Linked DNA regions of Solanum lycopersicum. The protein of the gene in region 1 binds, or shares a complex with, the protein of each later gene. Links are inferred from orthologs where the notes say so. Each region holds a gene or a part of one and is shown in the gene's direction. Other genes may lie near its edges.

Evidence for each region. Proteins that work in one complex are often made in the same cells at the same time.
Region 2: CSN4 (region 1) and COP9 signalosome complex subunit 8 share a complex: the UniProt entries of both Arabidopsis thaliana proteins name them as parts of the CSN complex. The link is inferred for Solanum lycopersicum from reciprocal best matches to the Arabidopsis thaliana genes COP8 and COP9.
Region 3: the proteins of CSN4 (region 1) and COP9 signalosome complex subunit 7 are in contact, whole or in part, in a cryo-EM structure (PDB 9IS6), measured with the Arabidopsis thaliana proteins. The link is inferred for Solanum lycopersicum from reciprocal best matches to the Arabidopsis thaliana genes COP8 and FUS5. Residues at the interface, in NP_199111.1 of Arabidopsis thaliana: Glu269, Arg270, Ile271, Arg273, Ser310, Lys313, Leu314, Tyr315, Thr316, Asn317, Ile318, Arg319, Glu322, Thr325, Leu326, Val357, His359, Gln373, Asp383; in NP_563645.1 of Arabidopsis thaliana: Met1, Lys108, Val124, Arg125, Glu128, Asp129, Ile132, Asn133, Met136, Tyr137, Lys144, Leu145, Asp146, Gln147, Leu148, Pro155.

The regions. Positions count from the first base shown.
Region 1 is NC_090803.1:66,278,907-66,284,337, forward strand, and holds the start of CSN4 (COP9 signalosome complex subunit 4), read left to right. Parts: upstream 1-1,978; 5' UTR 1,979-2,087; coding exon 2,088-2,217; intron 2,218-3,299; coding exon 3,300-3,451; intron 3,452-4,398; coding exon 4,399-4,502; intron 4,503-4,603; coding exon 4,604-4,664; intron 4,665-5,431. UniProt on the Arabidopsis thaliana protein: Component of the COP9 signalosome complex (CSN), a complex involved in various cellular and developmental processes such as photomorphogenesis and auxin and jasmonate responses.
Region 2 is NC_090800.1:89,068,627-89,073,081, forward strand, and holds the start of COP9 signalosome complex subunit 8, read left to right. Parts: upstream 1-1,169; 5' UTR 1,170-1,308; coding exon 1,309-1,392; intron 1,393-1,502; coding exon 1,503-1,582; intron 1,583-1,685; coding exon 1,686-1,867; intron 1,868-4,050; coding exon 4,051-4,158; intron 4,159-4,455. UniProt on the Arabidopsis thaliana protein: Component of the COP9 signalosome complex (CSN), a complex involved in various cellular and developmental processes such as photomorphogenesis and auxin and jasmonate responses.
Region 3 is NC_090800.1:79,720,518-79,725,190, forward strand, and holds the start of COP9 signalosome complex subunit 7, read left to right. Parts: upstream 1-1,387; 5' UTR 1,388-1,599; coding exon 1,600-1,758; intron 1,759-3,208; coding exon 3,209-3,284; intron 3,285-4,673. UniProt on the Arabidopsis thaliana protein: Component of the COP9 signalosome complex (CSN), a complex involved in various cellular and developmental processes such as photomorphogenesis and auxin and jasmonate responses.

The DNA.
Region 1 (5,431 bases):
ATAAGCAAAAAATATCGCTAAAATCAGTAATTATTTTTTATAATGTATTAATCCAAGAACAGTAAGTTAATGCTGTGAAATTGTGTTTGACTTGTTAGATTGTAATTTGATTTTGAATAACTTTTAGGTAATTGTATAACATAACAAATTAATAATATAAAATAAACGGAAAAGGACCTAAAATACCCTTAAAGTATTGAAAATGGTACAAAATTACCCTCCATCCACCTATTGGCTCCAAAATACCCTTCCCACCCACCTATTGGGTCCAAAATACCCTTGTCATCCACCTTTTGGTTCAAAATTGACCACTTATTTAACGGTTTTATATTAAACTATTTAAATATTTTTTAAAATACGTGAAACTCAATTTTTTGTTATAATTTAACTTATTAGTATAATTTATAAATCAATCCACTACCCATCCCATTACTAATCAAATCCCTCTAAATTAATGAATCCGTCACATTATTAATGCAAGCTACTGCCAATTGAGTGTTTTTAAAAATTATAGAGGTAAATTATCATACATTCAAGTGGCTAAATAAAAATCACCGATAAACTTAAAAGTCTGACTATGTTCATTTTAATTATTCTTATGTCTCAATTATGTGATGTTACTTCATAGGTAACTTTCTTTCAAAATAATATATTAAAGGTTTTAAAACAAATCATAAATATTTATAAAATTATATTTTAAAAAAGAGCATGAATTAGTTCGGGATGTATTACTTCTTTACCTTTAATCATGAATTTCTAATTCAATTTTGAAAGAAAGTGTCCTTCTAAATAAGCGGCTCAACCTAAATTTAATTGGGACTTCGATTCGGACTCGAATAATTTTGAATGTCATTTTCAGGAATCTATAATTTCATCGTGTTTTACTAGTGTTTATGATGATTTTGATATTATAATTGGATTATTAATTGGGTGAGGTTTAATTAGTAATGAGTGAGTAGTGGGTTGGTTAATAAATTATATTAAAAAATTATAATTATAATCAATAGTTGAACGCCAAGTATTTTTAAAAATATTTAAAGAGTTAAATTTTAAAACAATTAAAAAAAGTGGTCAATTTTGAACCCAAAGATGATGACAAGGGTATTTTGGAGCCAATAGCTGGATGAAAAGGGCATTTTGGAGCCAATAGGTGGATGAAGGGTAATTTTGTACCATTTTGAATACTTTAAGGGTATTTTAGGCCCTTGTCCGTAAAATAAATATAATAGCTATTGTTTGATTTATTTGTGTTTCATAGCAAACTGTTTGTCAGTCTCATTCTCCCTCATATTTTCGCTCGTCACTCTCTCTCTCTCTCTCCCTATCGCTTGCCTCTCTCGCTTTATACAATAGAATTGTATAAGTTGTGTTTCTAATCATATAAATCGAGAGAAAATTGTATATACACATGTAAATACATATATTTTTGTCATATACACTTATAATTATACAATAAAAGTACTCTTCCGCCCAAGTCTCTTTTGTCTCTCTCCTTCTCGTTTTATACAATTTGATTCAATTGTATATTCCCTGCCCAAGTCTCTTTTGTCATTCTCTCTTTCTCATTTTATACAAATTCAAATTGTATATAATCGTCTTATACACTTATAATTATATAATTCATTTTATACATTTCATTTTATACAATTTTATGCCCAAGTCTCTTTTTCTTTCTCATTTTATACACTTCGTTTTATACAATTCGCTTCAATTGTATATGTATAGCAAATTATACATATATATGTTTGCTATTAAATATATTTGTTACAAAGCGCAATTATATGAACTTTGTTATAACATACAAATATAAATTTTATATATGCTACATGTGAAAATTATCCTACATAAATTTGAACCGAAATAATAATTTTATCACTTTTTCTTTTTAAAAAAATAAAATTAGTTCGAAGTTGTGTCCGAGCCCATATACCACAGCGGGCAACAGATTATAAATCGACTTTCAAATCCCTATTTATATGCCAAAATTTTGGTTCATAAGCTCCATTAACGCTTCGAAAAAGAACTCGACGAGACACTCCAAATTGCGTATTCGAGAAGATTAGCTCAGAGATAAACCCTAAATCGCAATGGAGAGTGCGTTCGCTAGTGCCTCTGCGATCAGCGACCAACGCCAGAAAATCGAACAGTACAAGCACATTCTGTCCACCGTTCTTGCATCAAGCGATATCCAACAAGCCAAGCAATTCATCGATCACAGTAAGTTTTTCTCGTTGTTTCATCATAATTTCGCTGTTAATTTTTTGTTCATGTTCTATAATTCTCAGCTGAAATAGATGTTCGAAGATTCATATAGTCAGATTGTAACCGGTTTGAGATTGAGAGGTTGTTTGATTGAGATTGTGTACAATTATGTCGCGCCAGTTATAATCTCATCACAGTTTTGCTGTTAATTTATGTTCATGTTTTATATTTCTCAGTTGAAACAGATGTTAGAATATTTATATAGTCATATTCTATCTGGTTTGGGATTGAGCCATTGGTTGGTTGAGAATGTGTTTGGTTATGCAGTGCAGTTACTGCCTCATTATAATTTTGCTGTTAATTTATCTTCATGTTGTATATTTCTCAGCTGGAATAGATATAGAAGATATATATAGTTAGATTCTAACTGGTTTGAGATTGAGCCGTTATTTTGATTTAAGTTTATTTACGACTATGCAGTTCAGTTACTATCTCATCATAATTTTGCTATTTATTTTGCATTCATGTTTTATGTCTCTCAGCTGAAATAGATATAGAAGATTTATATATTCTCATATTCTTACTAGTTTGGGATTGAGCCGCTGTTTGATTGAGATTGTGTGTGATTTATGCATTGCAGCAACTATTTCATCTCAATTTTCTGTTAATTTTATGTTTATGTTGTAGATTTCTCGGTTGAAATAGATATAGATGATTTATATAGTCAGATACTAACTGGTTTGAGATTGAGCCGCTGTTTGATTAAGACTGTACGATTATGCAGTGTAGTTACTATCTAATCATAATTTTGCAACTTGTTTTATTTTTCATGTTGTATACGTCTAGCTGAAATAATATGTATAGACAATTTATGCAGTCAGATTCCAGTTGGTTTGCGATTGAGCCACTGTTTGATTGAGATTGTGTATGACTATGCAGTGCAATCACCATCCAGCTGTCTAATCTTAATTTTTCCTGTAATTTTTATATTCACGTTGTATATTCTCAGCTGAAATCTAAATAGAATATTTATAGTCAGATTCTAACTAATTTGGGGTTGAGCCGCTGTTGTTTGATTGAGTGTGTACATTATGCAGTGCTATCGGATGACGTGCCCTTGGTGGTATCTAGACAGCTATTGCAGACATTTGCCCAGGAATTCGATAGATTGGAACCTGATGTTCAAAAGGAAGTAGCACACTATACTCTCAACCAGATACAGCCTCGTGTGGTGTCCTTTGAAGAACAAGTATGCTTTGATATTTCTATTTTGTTAATTGTCAGATTCTTGACAACTCCTTTGCAGCCCATAGTGAACGATACTTGGACTTACATTAATGCCTTATATATCTCTAAAATTTGGTGCTTCAGAATGTCACTAGCATCAGTTTGTCTTTATTTTGCTTTGTCTGTTGCATCAGGTGGTGCATATGTATTTGTAAGGGTGTAGCATTTGGATGTTTGTAATTTCATTTCTTAAAACTTCATAAGAGAACAGCAAGAATGCTCTATCAAGAAAAAATACAGAGAGGAACATGGTATGAAGAAAGAGAATTATTGAATCAGCATGACAATATCTCTGCCACCTAAAGAGAAGGCCTGTTTTAACGATTGAAATCACGTTCTTTTACTAATTATGGGATGGGAAGTACTTATCAGAAAAAAGGATGGCAAATTTCCAAATAATTGTCTTTCAGAAAGTAATCTCTTTCTAATTGACCATTAAAGTTAGCATCTCTATTTTTATTAAAACCAGTTAAAATAATAGGCTAGAAAAGAATTTGAGTGTAGTACCAGGAACTCAATACACGGGCCACAACCCACATTGGGACCATGGGGTTGTTTATTATGAAGTGTGTTTTTTGAGTTGGTGTTGGATGGAACTATTGCATTGACACCTTTGATTCCTTTTCGATGGAAGTGATTTTAAGAACTGAATTTTGTGAGAGTGGGCTAGCGCCAAAGTCACAGAATTATTTGTTTATCTTGGGATTAAAAAGTTTTTCCGGAAATCATAGTTATCTTAAAATTTGATGTGTGTCTTGAGTATTTTAGTTTTGAGAAAATGGTACAAATGAAGGTCAAAATTGGAACTCAGCATATTGTCTGTTGTCATCAAGAGATCTCCACATACAGGTTCTTTTGATCTTTTATGTTTTTACTGCCCATTTCTAAAACAAAATCCCATATTTTCAGGTGTTGATCATTCGGGAAAAACTTGCAGAATTATATGAGTCTGAGCAACAATGGTCAAAAGCAGCTCAGATGCTTAGTGGCATCGATTTAGACTCTGCAATGAGGTCTGTGTTACACTTCTACTTATCTTTGCTTGCCTGCTGCTGTGTCCCTTAACTTATCTTTGGAAGCTGAAATTTCTATCTTCGCACTGCTTCTTCTGCAGATTCGTTGATGATACATTCAGAATTTCAAAATGTGTCCAAATTGCTCGTCTCTATCTGGAGGTTGGATTTTTCTTTTTCTTTTCTTTCTATACTTCTAATGCCAAGTAAACATATCCAAGTTAACGATCCTTGTTTGGTTTGGTAGTGCACCTTTCAACTTGCCTGACAATTGATCTGCTCTAAAGAGGAAGAGGCGAAATCAATTCATCAATATATGTGCTGGAGCGACCTATCAATTTTTTTAGTTTGGTTAACTAATTGTTGATATTTATAAGAAAACAATTAATAACTTGCTAGTTTGAGCTATAGGGCGTTGTTGTAGTGCAAGCGTATTGATTACGGGAATATTATACAAAAGGCTTTCTTAAAAATTCTCATAGAATCTAGAATGAAGTTTTGATTCTATACATGCCATATCATGAATTAGTAGCTGCTTCCAATTAAAAGAAATTCTAATTGTGTTGAACTTTCCATTTTTGTAGTAGTTATGGAATCTTCATGAGTAAACTATAGTCCACACAACCATATCTCCCAATTGAAAAAGATAATTACTACATGAGACAACACATTAGATAAAGGAAAAATCTTTCGTTCTTTCTTTTTTATTTCTATATTATATAGGTATGTACAACTTTATCATCAATTTTCTTTACCGATCAAAAGTAGTTTCTAGTATGTTTGCCCAAACTGCTTCAAACACCTAAGGAACCACCAAAAGTTTTTTCTACAAAAAAGAGTTTTTTCTTAGCTGCACCTAAGGGTGTAGCCTAGTGGTCAATAAAGAGGGTTGAGAACTGTGAGGCCTTAGGTTCAATTCCCAGCGGAGA
Region 2 (4,455 bases), on another chromosome or scaffold:
ACATTTTAATATATATATTAATTTATAGTGCCTTCTACGTAGGAAATCATAATACAATCATGGAGAAAAGACATAAAGTTGTCACTGAATTTGTCACGTATTTTTATAAAGACCCTTGAACTTTGAAAGTGTCCTATCTCCCAACAAAACTTTTTAATATCTTTGTAAATGAGCCATTTTGACCCATTTCCTTGTTTGGGTTGTGACCACGCACATAAATCTGTGCTACAATGCTTTCACTGTCATTAACCAGCTTAAAAGTAACACATGTCGCTTTATTTCTTTATTATTAATTATTAATTTGTTTACCTTATCTTTCCCAAATTTAAACTCAAAATAGCCATTGATAGCCACTCTTTATGATTTCATTTTTTTTTCTCTAAAGCAAGATCAGATACACTCTTTTTGACAAATACATAATCTTCTCCTAAAGCAATAATGTAGGAATTCTTTCTCTTTAAATTTTCAATAAAATGGTTTTTTTGGGTGTATCACTAAAAGCATCAGATTCAATTTCATTACTAAAAACAATGAAGAATAAAAGTTTGAGAGTCCTCTCAAATGTTTAACTGAAAATACACTACTCAGGAGGACAATATAATTAAAAAAAGGCCGACATTAAAATTATTTATCAATCTTCAACAAAATTGTATTTCGAAAAAATGACGTACCAATTCAAAATACTTGATTGGAGAAATGATGGCGAGTTGAGGTCCAAGCTTCTCCTCTGCAGCTTTCTTTGCCTTAACTCTAAGTTTTTCCAACTGCTTTCTCCTCTCTCATATGCTGCCTGAGCTCTGTCTTTCCTCTTGTTCTCGAGTTCCTTGAAAGAAAAACAAGAAAATCTGAAAGAATTGGAAAGCTAACTAATAACCAAGGAAAAAAAACATTTTTCTACTTTATAAAAAAATTAGATTGGGCTAAACGGATCAAAAAAAATGAGCATCACGCGCAGTAATCAAGACAAGGAAATGAGTCAAAATGATTCATTTACAAAGATATTAAAATTTTTTATAGAGTGATATAACACTTTCAAAGATAAATTATCTTTATAAAAATATAAAACGAACTTCAGTAATAACTTTATGTTTTTTCTCTACACGTAAACAAGAAACAAGAAACATGTGTCGTGAAAAATGTTAGTATTTTTGTTATTTAGTATCCGGATATGAAAATCACCTTTAAGTAGCCCAAAGGCCCAATAACCAAAAGCCGAAACTATTTAATACATTGTAATTCCGATCACCCAGCGGGGAGTCGGTGACGGAGTAGAAGGAGAATCGACGACGAAAAAAACAGTGCGCTTCAATGGATACTTCTCAACTCAACGAAGCCTTGGCGTCCAGCTTCTACGACAAGATTGCTGATATTTGTGATGATCTCATGCTCCAGGCAATTTCTCCCTATTTTTTTCTCTTTATTTATCGTCTTTCTAGTGTAGTTCTTTCAGTCGATTTAAGAGTGAAACCTAATGTTTCTATTCGCTTTATTTGTATTCATAGGGTGCCGCTGAGGGAATCGAATTTCAAGATGAATGGCCGTACGCGATTCACCTTCTAGGTCATATTTACAGCAATGACATGTAATCTCTTATTTGCAACTTTACTTTGGAATTTTAGGGTTTTAAGTTGGATGATGTTAGGGAATTGATTTAGAATTACATTGTTATTGTTTTACTTTTGCAGTAATAGTGCGCGATTTCTGTGGAAGAAGATACCTGCAGCTGTAAAAGAAGCCCGACCAGAGGTGGTGGCTGTTTGGAGGATTGGGCAGAAACTTTGGACAAGGGACTATGTCGGTGTACATGAGGCTATTCGTGGATTCAGCTGGAGTCCTGAGATTCAGCCCTTTGTGGCTTCCTTTGCAGGCAAGTTTGTTTATCTTTATTCTCCATAGAACAAACGGTAGAGACTTAGTTGATCATCCTTTTTTGTTTAAAATTTGATTGGCTTCATTTAATTCTAGTCGTCTAATCAGTTCTGGTTAGAAGCTTTACATACTGTACTGTATAAGTCCTAGCAACAGCCCAAGATTTGTTTTTGCTTGTCCAATCCATAGGATTATAGGGTTCTGAATGATGAAGATGAAAGAACCCATTGAGTAGGTAAAACGTTGAATATGTGAACAACTAAGACATAGCATCTCTAAGTTATAGTGGTGCAAGAGGAGTGTCACCTCTCGTTTTGAAATAAAAAGGGAGAAGTTAAAGTGAGTGTTGAGATTTTTTACCATTGTCAAAAAATAAAAGTGTTGAGATTATATTTCGAAGGTTCTATCTAGTAAATTTATACTATAGTTGGCATTTGGAAGGAATTAAAATTCTTTTCTGTGCCTGTCAAAAGCATAGAAGGTTTTGCTGCTACAACTAAGAATTGTGACTTATAAGAAGTGCCACTTTGCCAAAGGAGTCTAGCCTCTCTTCTGGGTTAAGATAGAATGTGGATCAAGTAAAGGATTAACAACAAAATTGCCATTGTTGTGAATTAGTAGAATCTATGGATCTGCACAAATCACATAGTTGGGCTGCAGTCAAAGATTAGCTATTGGAGTTTGATAATGGCTTGAGACTACAATGATGTTCTCTGATCTTATCTTGAAGTCTAGTGCCCACTTTCAGGTAATCATCTTAAGTGGGCTGGTAGAATTGTTCTCTACAGGTCAATACATCTTGGTACAACATCAAAAAATTTGAAAATGATATGTTTTGTTAGCAAGGCCATTGGCTGTTTGGTATGAAATAGTCAGTATAAGCAATTATTTAGTATGGGTTTACTTAGGATGTATTTACTGGCGTGATCCCCTGAAAGGAGATCATAATGGTGATGCCTTTCCCAATCACAACGTGTCAATTTCGTTCCTGGTTGATGTCATGATTGTTGGATTGTTGGTTGCAGTATCATCTCCATGCTTGAATCTTGATATGTATGTACTTATTGACCTAGATAATTGTGGATAATGCTCCTATTATGTCTCCCCATCCTATTTTTCTTCGTTGTTGATTTTGCTGTGTGTTCTTTTTTTGTCAATTACTCCTTATATGAGTTGGACGAGCTTAATTGGTTCTTTGTTTTCCGCATGCGCAACTTTGACAAGGCGTTTTATTTACTAAAACAAGGACTGTATACTCTTTCTTTGTACACCATTTACTGATGGTGAATTAGTTGGAGTCTTGGGTTGTTTTAATTATTGGGTAACTCTCCAGATTCATTGAATTTATTATATACTTGACTTTGGGAAGATAGCTATTGAGGAAAAATATCTTTCCACATATAAAGGATAATTTGGCATGTAACTTTCTACTAATAAGACACACAGTAATACTAATTCCATCATATTGCTTTCATCCCACCTATATAAAAAACAAAACTATACTACTACATTTTGGTGAGAGGTCAAGGATTAAGTGATAAACTGATGTAGACATATACCAAAAAGATTAAGTGATTACTCAATCTATGTTGAAATGTTCTGTCTGGAGGATTGGTTATGGACCTGTGGTAGACAAAGCAGCATAAATGAAGTTGTTTTCAGACCATGCTGATGGAGAGGAGCGCAACAGAATTTTCAGCATGCTTAGTTCCGACTCTAGGATCTTCTGTTGTGGTTAGAAGTAAATTAGTTTAGTACTATTTTTGTGTTTTGTAATTCATGCAGCATTATATTTTTGTGACGTCAGGTGAAACTATACTTCACCAAATTATTATTTTCTTCTGCCATATTAATTGGGGCTGTATTTGTAAGAAAATAAAATGATTGTTAGCACATTATTGTAGGGGGTGGTGGTTACATATATCCTTAATTTAAGTTGGTTATTTGTTTAAATATTAGACCACATTGCTGGGGAAATGTCCGAATAGTTGCTAGCAATTTTTTAAGAAAAGCTTTTACACAAATCTGTGAAGGGAGCCATATAATGTAAACATAAACTTGAAGAAGTTCTTGTGCCCCATTGTTTTCTTTGTGGTTTTTCTATACAGGACGCATAGATATACATGTGGGTACTTATTTTGCTGTATATTTGATTTTCATATCATTTTCATCCTTCTGCAGAATTATACAGAAAAAGGATGTTCGAGCTCCTTCTTTCCGCTTATTCAACCATTAGCACACAAGACTCAGCTCACTTCCTGGGAATGAATGAAAATGATGCTACAAACTGTAAGTTTTTATCTACAGCGTGCATGCTTGTAGTCGTAAAGTTCTTTTTTGTGTACATAAGAGGACTAAATGAACTAGTGTCTGTCATAAGGAATCCTTGTTGTGTCTGCAAGGAGAATCGTCTCCATTCTCTTCATTGTCTAGCAGACTATAATTTGGACTTGATTGGTCAGGTATCCTTTCACCTTTCACCTTTAAAAGTCATGCTAAAATGTTACTTTCTAAACCTTCTGAAAAGGCTCTCTCATATCTCAAACTCTGCTCTTTGATGTGTTGGTAGTTGTTCCTTTATCAATT
Region 3 (4,673 bases), on another chromosome or scaffold:
TAATACTCGCTTCAAAATTCCTTTCACATAAAAAAATCCCTATTTTGGGATCGACCCCTACACGGAAGCAATAGCGAAGTCAATTCGGGTAGGCGCACGATCCTTATATCATAACAAACGTTTTATAGGCTCCCGAACCCTCGATTCGGTTGTTTTCCAAGAATGTTGAGCCACATATGTAAGCCATGTATCTGGGAGGAACAACAATAAAAGAAAGGTTTCAGTTTTTGTCTTGCAACTATTTTCAAAATATATATATAACCCAAAAGAATATTCATTCATTTCTTTCTTCTCCGTCGACCACGACGATTGAAACGACGCGAAAAATCTAGACCCCGTAAAGGAGAAGGGTCGGGGGGGGGGGATTTGGGAAAGTCGGGTCGGCCGGGTGTCTTTATTCAAGCAATGGTACAGAAGTAGAACGAAATAGAGTGAGAGGTCGGGGGCATGGAAAAGAGTCAAATCGATCAGGCTCGACGATCGGGAGAAGCAAAACGAAATCAGGATTTGAACGAAAAAAAAGCAAGGTTGTGTATACCATGACCGATCACCATCGACAAAAGAAGAATATTTCTAAATCACTTCGTGTCAGCGGGACCTTCAAGCATCCGAAATATGCCACGATTGAAAATGACATAACATACATGATTAAAAACATAAAATTAAATCATAAAAGTTTGAGGAAAGATGATACAAGTTATTCATTATTATCAAGGTGTCAAGTGAAAAACAATAATATCTATGATCGAGAAAGATTGAAAGAAGTGATTGTCTCACATTTGCTAAGAGCTCTTTGATGAATTTTTCGTAAAATGCAACCCCTTACTTGTTAAGTAACTCTCTATCTAATTGTATAAATACAAAATACTATTTTATTGATAAGTTATCATATAATAATGGTATATTCAAATTTAAATACATTGACATGAAATCAACCTAAAGCATACGACAAAGCCATTAAGATTAATAGTATGTCAATGTCAAAAATCTTTCTTCAGTATACATGATTTGATTAACATGACATTCACTCTACGTTATCATATTGAATATATTATTATTGAAATTTATTAAAATTTAATATACATATAAAATAATTAGTATATATTTCTTATAATGATCTTATTTTCTTTTTTGTATATTTTAAAAAGAATGATATTTTTCCTTTTCTGGCAACATTTTAACGATATGACATGTTTAAGAATATAAAATTAAAAAGTATTTTGATATACTTGACATAACTTTAATTTAGTTACATAAAATTAAAATATATTATTCCTTTTTTGAAATTTTATTTTAAATTATTATTATTTTTTTAAACGGAGGGAGTAATTATTATTGTAAAATATTGAAAGAAGCTTAAAAGTAAATCAAAAGTATAAAAGGACCCGCGATGGGCTCAAAGCATCATACCAAATCAGACAAGCGCCCTTCTTCTCCGTGGGACTCCAAAATTTTACAGTTAAAAAAGCCCTCTTCTCTATTTGTTTTTGTGATAAATCTTTGAATCGGAAATCAGAAACCCTAATAATTTTCTTTGCTTTTGTCTATAAATGTTATTGAACCCCTGATTACTTGTGATTATTAATTATTCATAGAGAGATGGATATCGAACAAAAGCAAGCGGAGCACATCGACTTCTTTGTGAAACAAGCATCAGCACTCAAGGGTTCTGCCCTTACCACTGTTATTGTTGAAGCCACTTCGCATCCATCACTCTTTGCTTTTTCAGAGATTCTTTCTGTTCCCAGTGTTCTCGAGGTTTCCATTCATTCATATTACTATTTCTACACTTGTTCTGATTTTGTTTGAAGTTTTTTTTTTTTTTTTATGATAATTGGGTTAGTAGGTGTTGCGTTAATTTGTTTTTTTGTAATTTTGTGTGTTTTTTCCTATACTGGGTTTCTAGGTATTTACCCTGAACATTGTGTCGTGGTTATGTACTTATGCTATTGATTGGGCAATATCTGGAATATGATATCATTCTGGGTATCTGTTTGTTGAGTCTTTCGAAAACAGCCTCTCTACCTTCTCAAAGGTAGGGATAAGGTCTGCGCGTACACTCTACCCTACCTGGACATCAAACACCACTTGTGAGATTACATTTGGTTTGTTGTTTTTGTTGTTGATGGAATTTCCTGATAATTTGATTAGTGGGTTTTCCTCTCATATTGGAAGTGCCTGCGTTAGGCGTAGTAATTGGTCTTGTGGTACGAGGAAAAATGTTGGGGATGTCTTAAGAAAGGAAAGCTTTGAGTAAACTGGGATGGATTAATGAAAACAATATTTTGCCGATGAGCTACAAACTCTTGCTCATTTATATGGCTGTATGTTAAATATTGAATAGTCTATGTAGATGTTTTAGATCATGGATAAATAGATGAAAAGTTAATATTTTATCTTATGATCAAGTACCAGATGATTTTCAAAACACAAAAGGAATGAATATCAGGAAACACAACTAAAATGGATCAAGATACTACAATTTGATTGATTTTAAAAGAGGTAATAGAAGCGTAGGGGATACAGTATCATTAATGAGGAAATAACTTGGGTTCATCCTATCAATTCAATCAACTTCAGAGCTCAAAACCCTAAGCATATCGAAATGGGCTTAGTTGCACGGACTCTTCACTTTGATGCCGCATCCGTGTCGGATTCACCAAAATACACTACTTTTGGCGAATCCGACATGCACTATTGACAGTTTGGAAGAGTCCGAGCTACATAGGAAATGGGTTTTATACTCGGTTTTGATTCTCTTTAGAGTTCCTTTATGACAATTAGGTAGACATCTGGGAATAAAGGGCAAAAGAAGTGCTTTTGATCAGTCAGGTTAGACCATATCTGAAGTGGGCACTTTATTGTGGTATTTCTTGACTATAAATTGCACCTGTGATTCAACGTTGGTTGTTGAATCATAAGATTCAGGTTAGATTTATGCATCACAGACTTAGATTATAGTTGATTCTGCTGGAACATAAATCTAATTGTGAGATTTGAATCTCAAACTGTAAGTTTTTGAAAAATATGGGCATAGAAAACATTTGTTTCAATGCAGAGGATTATTGGGAGCACCTGAAAATTGTACCTTGATATACTTTTTGCAAGTTGTGTAGTTAACACCATATTGCCATGTTGCTGTATATATACTTTGGGATCCCTTTCATATTTGCGGTTAATTGTTTTTTTTTGTTGGACCTATATGCAGCTTGGAGGAACTGAGAATTCAGTATACCTTGATTTGCTTCGTTTGTTTGCTCATGGAACATGGAGTGACTACAAAAGTAAGCGTACATTTTTTTTTATATCTGATTATTTTAGAAACATTTTTTTTGTTGGGTAGGCTGGGTAGCTGATTGGATCCGCTTTTCCAGGTTGGAGATTTCAACAATGTTCTTTTTATTGCCATTATGTCAATTTATCTGCAATACTTCATTTACCATTCTTTCATATTAAATGCCTTAAATTTTATAATATTGTGAACTTGTACCCTATCATTTCGAGGTATTTCTTTGAGATAGAATATGCTTTTGGTCATATGTATAAGAACTTGAAGATTCTTCTAATTGTTAATAGAGCGTTAGTGCAAATGAGGGTATCAATATTAAGTTATTAACTTCTCAAGTTTTGTTTCTCCGTAAATGAGTTCATTGTTGGCTGGGAAGTTAATAAGGACATGGTTTAGCCTCAGTTGTTCGGACTTTATGCGGTATAGTTCTTCTTGAACTGGTTTGATTCTAAATTTTCTTACAAAATCAATCAAATTATTTGGTTGATGTGGATTTCTTGATCGTAGCAAGACTGGAATAGAACTTTTGTTCCACATAGGGGCCATAGTATCAAGTAATAGTAGCGTATAGAATTACATTCTTCAAAACCATTTTCTCATCTATTTTGCTTATTAATTTATTTCTTTATTTCTTATTGGCTCAGGTATATAAGACATAACACTACAAATATGATATAATTTTTATTCCTTCTCAGTAATCACTTTTATTCACAATTGCCTTTTTATAAAGTAATATCACATTCCAAGTTTAAGTTATGATAATCTTTTTGCTAGTAAGAATTTGGTTATTTCAACACCTTGATACGATTGATATTTTGAGTAGAAGTGCTAATGAAAAAAAGTCTTCTTTTTTTCTTCTCTTAACTTAAGAATTAAGTAAAATCAATGAAATTGAACTGCATATGGTAGAAAACCATGTGAATCATCAATACAATATTTGATTCACACGGTCCGCATGCTGTTTCATACAATGCGTCACCCGCTCTTGTATTTGTAATAACTTGTCATGAATTCAATTAAATGTTGATGGAAAAGAACCATAACTATGTAACCCTATTCCTAACAGATTGACCCAAAAATAGCATATCCAAATTATAAGAAAACCTATCGACGCTACAATTGCAGAATTTAGACCCCGCAAATTTCTATTTGTTCGATGAAATATCAAATATTATTTATATCTTTGATATATTATTTCTATAAAATAAATTATTTTGCTTAAACGAGCTTTCTATAATATTTAATTTAAATTCATTATGTTAAAAAGATGAATTATGCACATTTGGATATTGAAAACAAACAATCTTAATTATAATGTGTTCAATTAGTTTTAGAGACAATATCTTAATATTCAAAAATGTACTCGGATTTAGACGTGTTAATA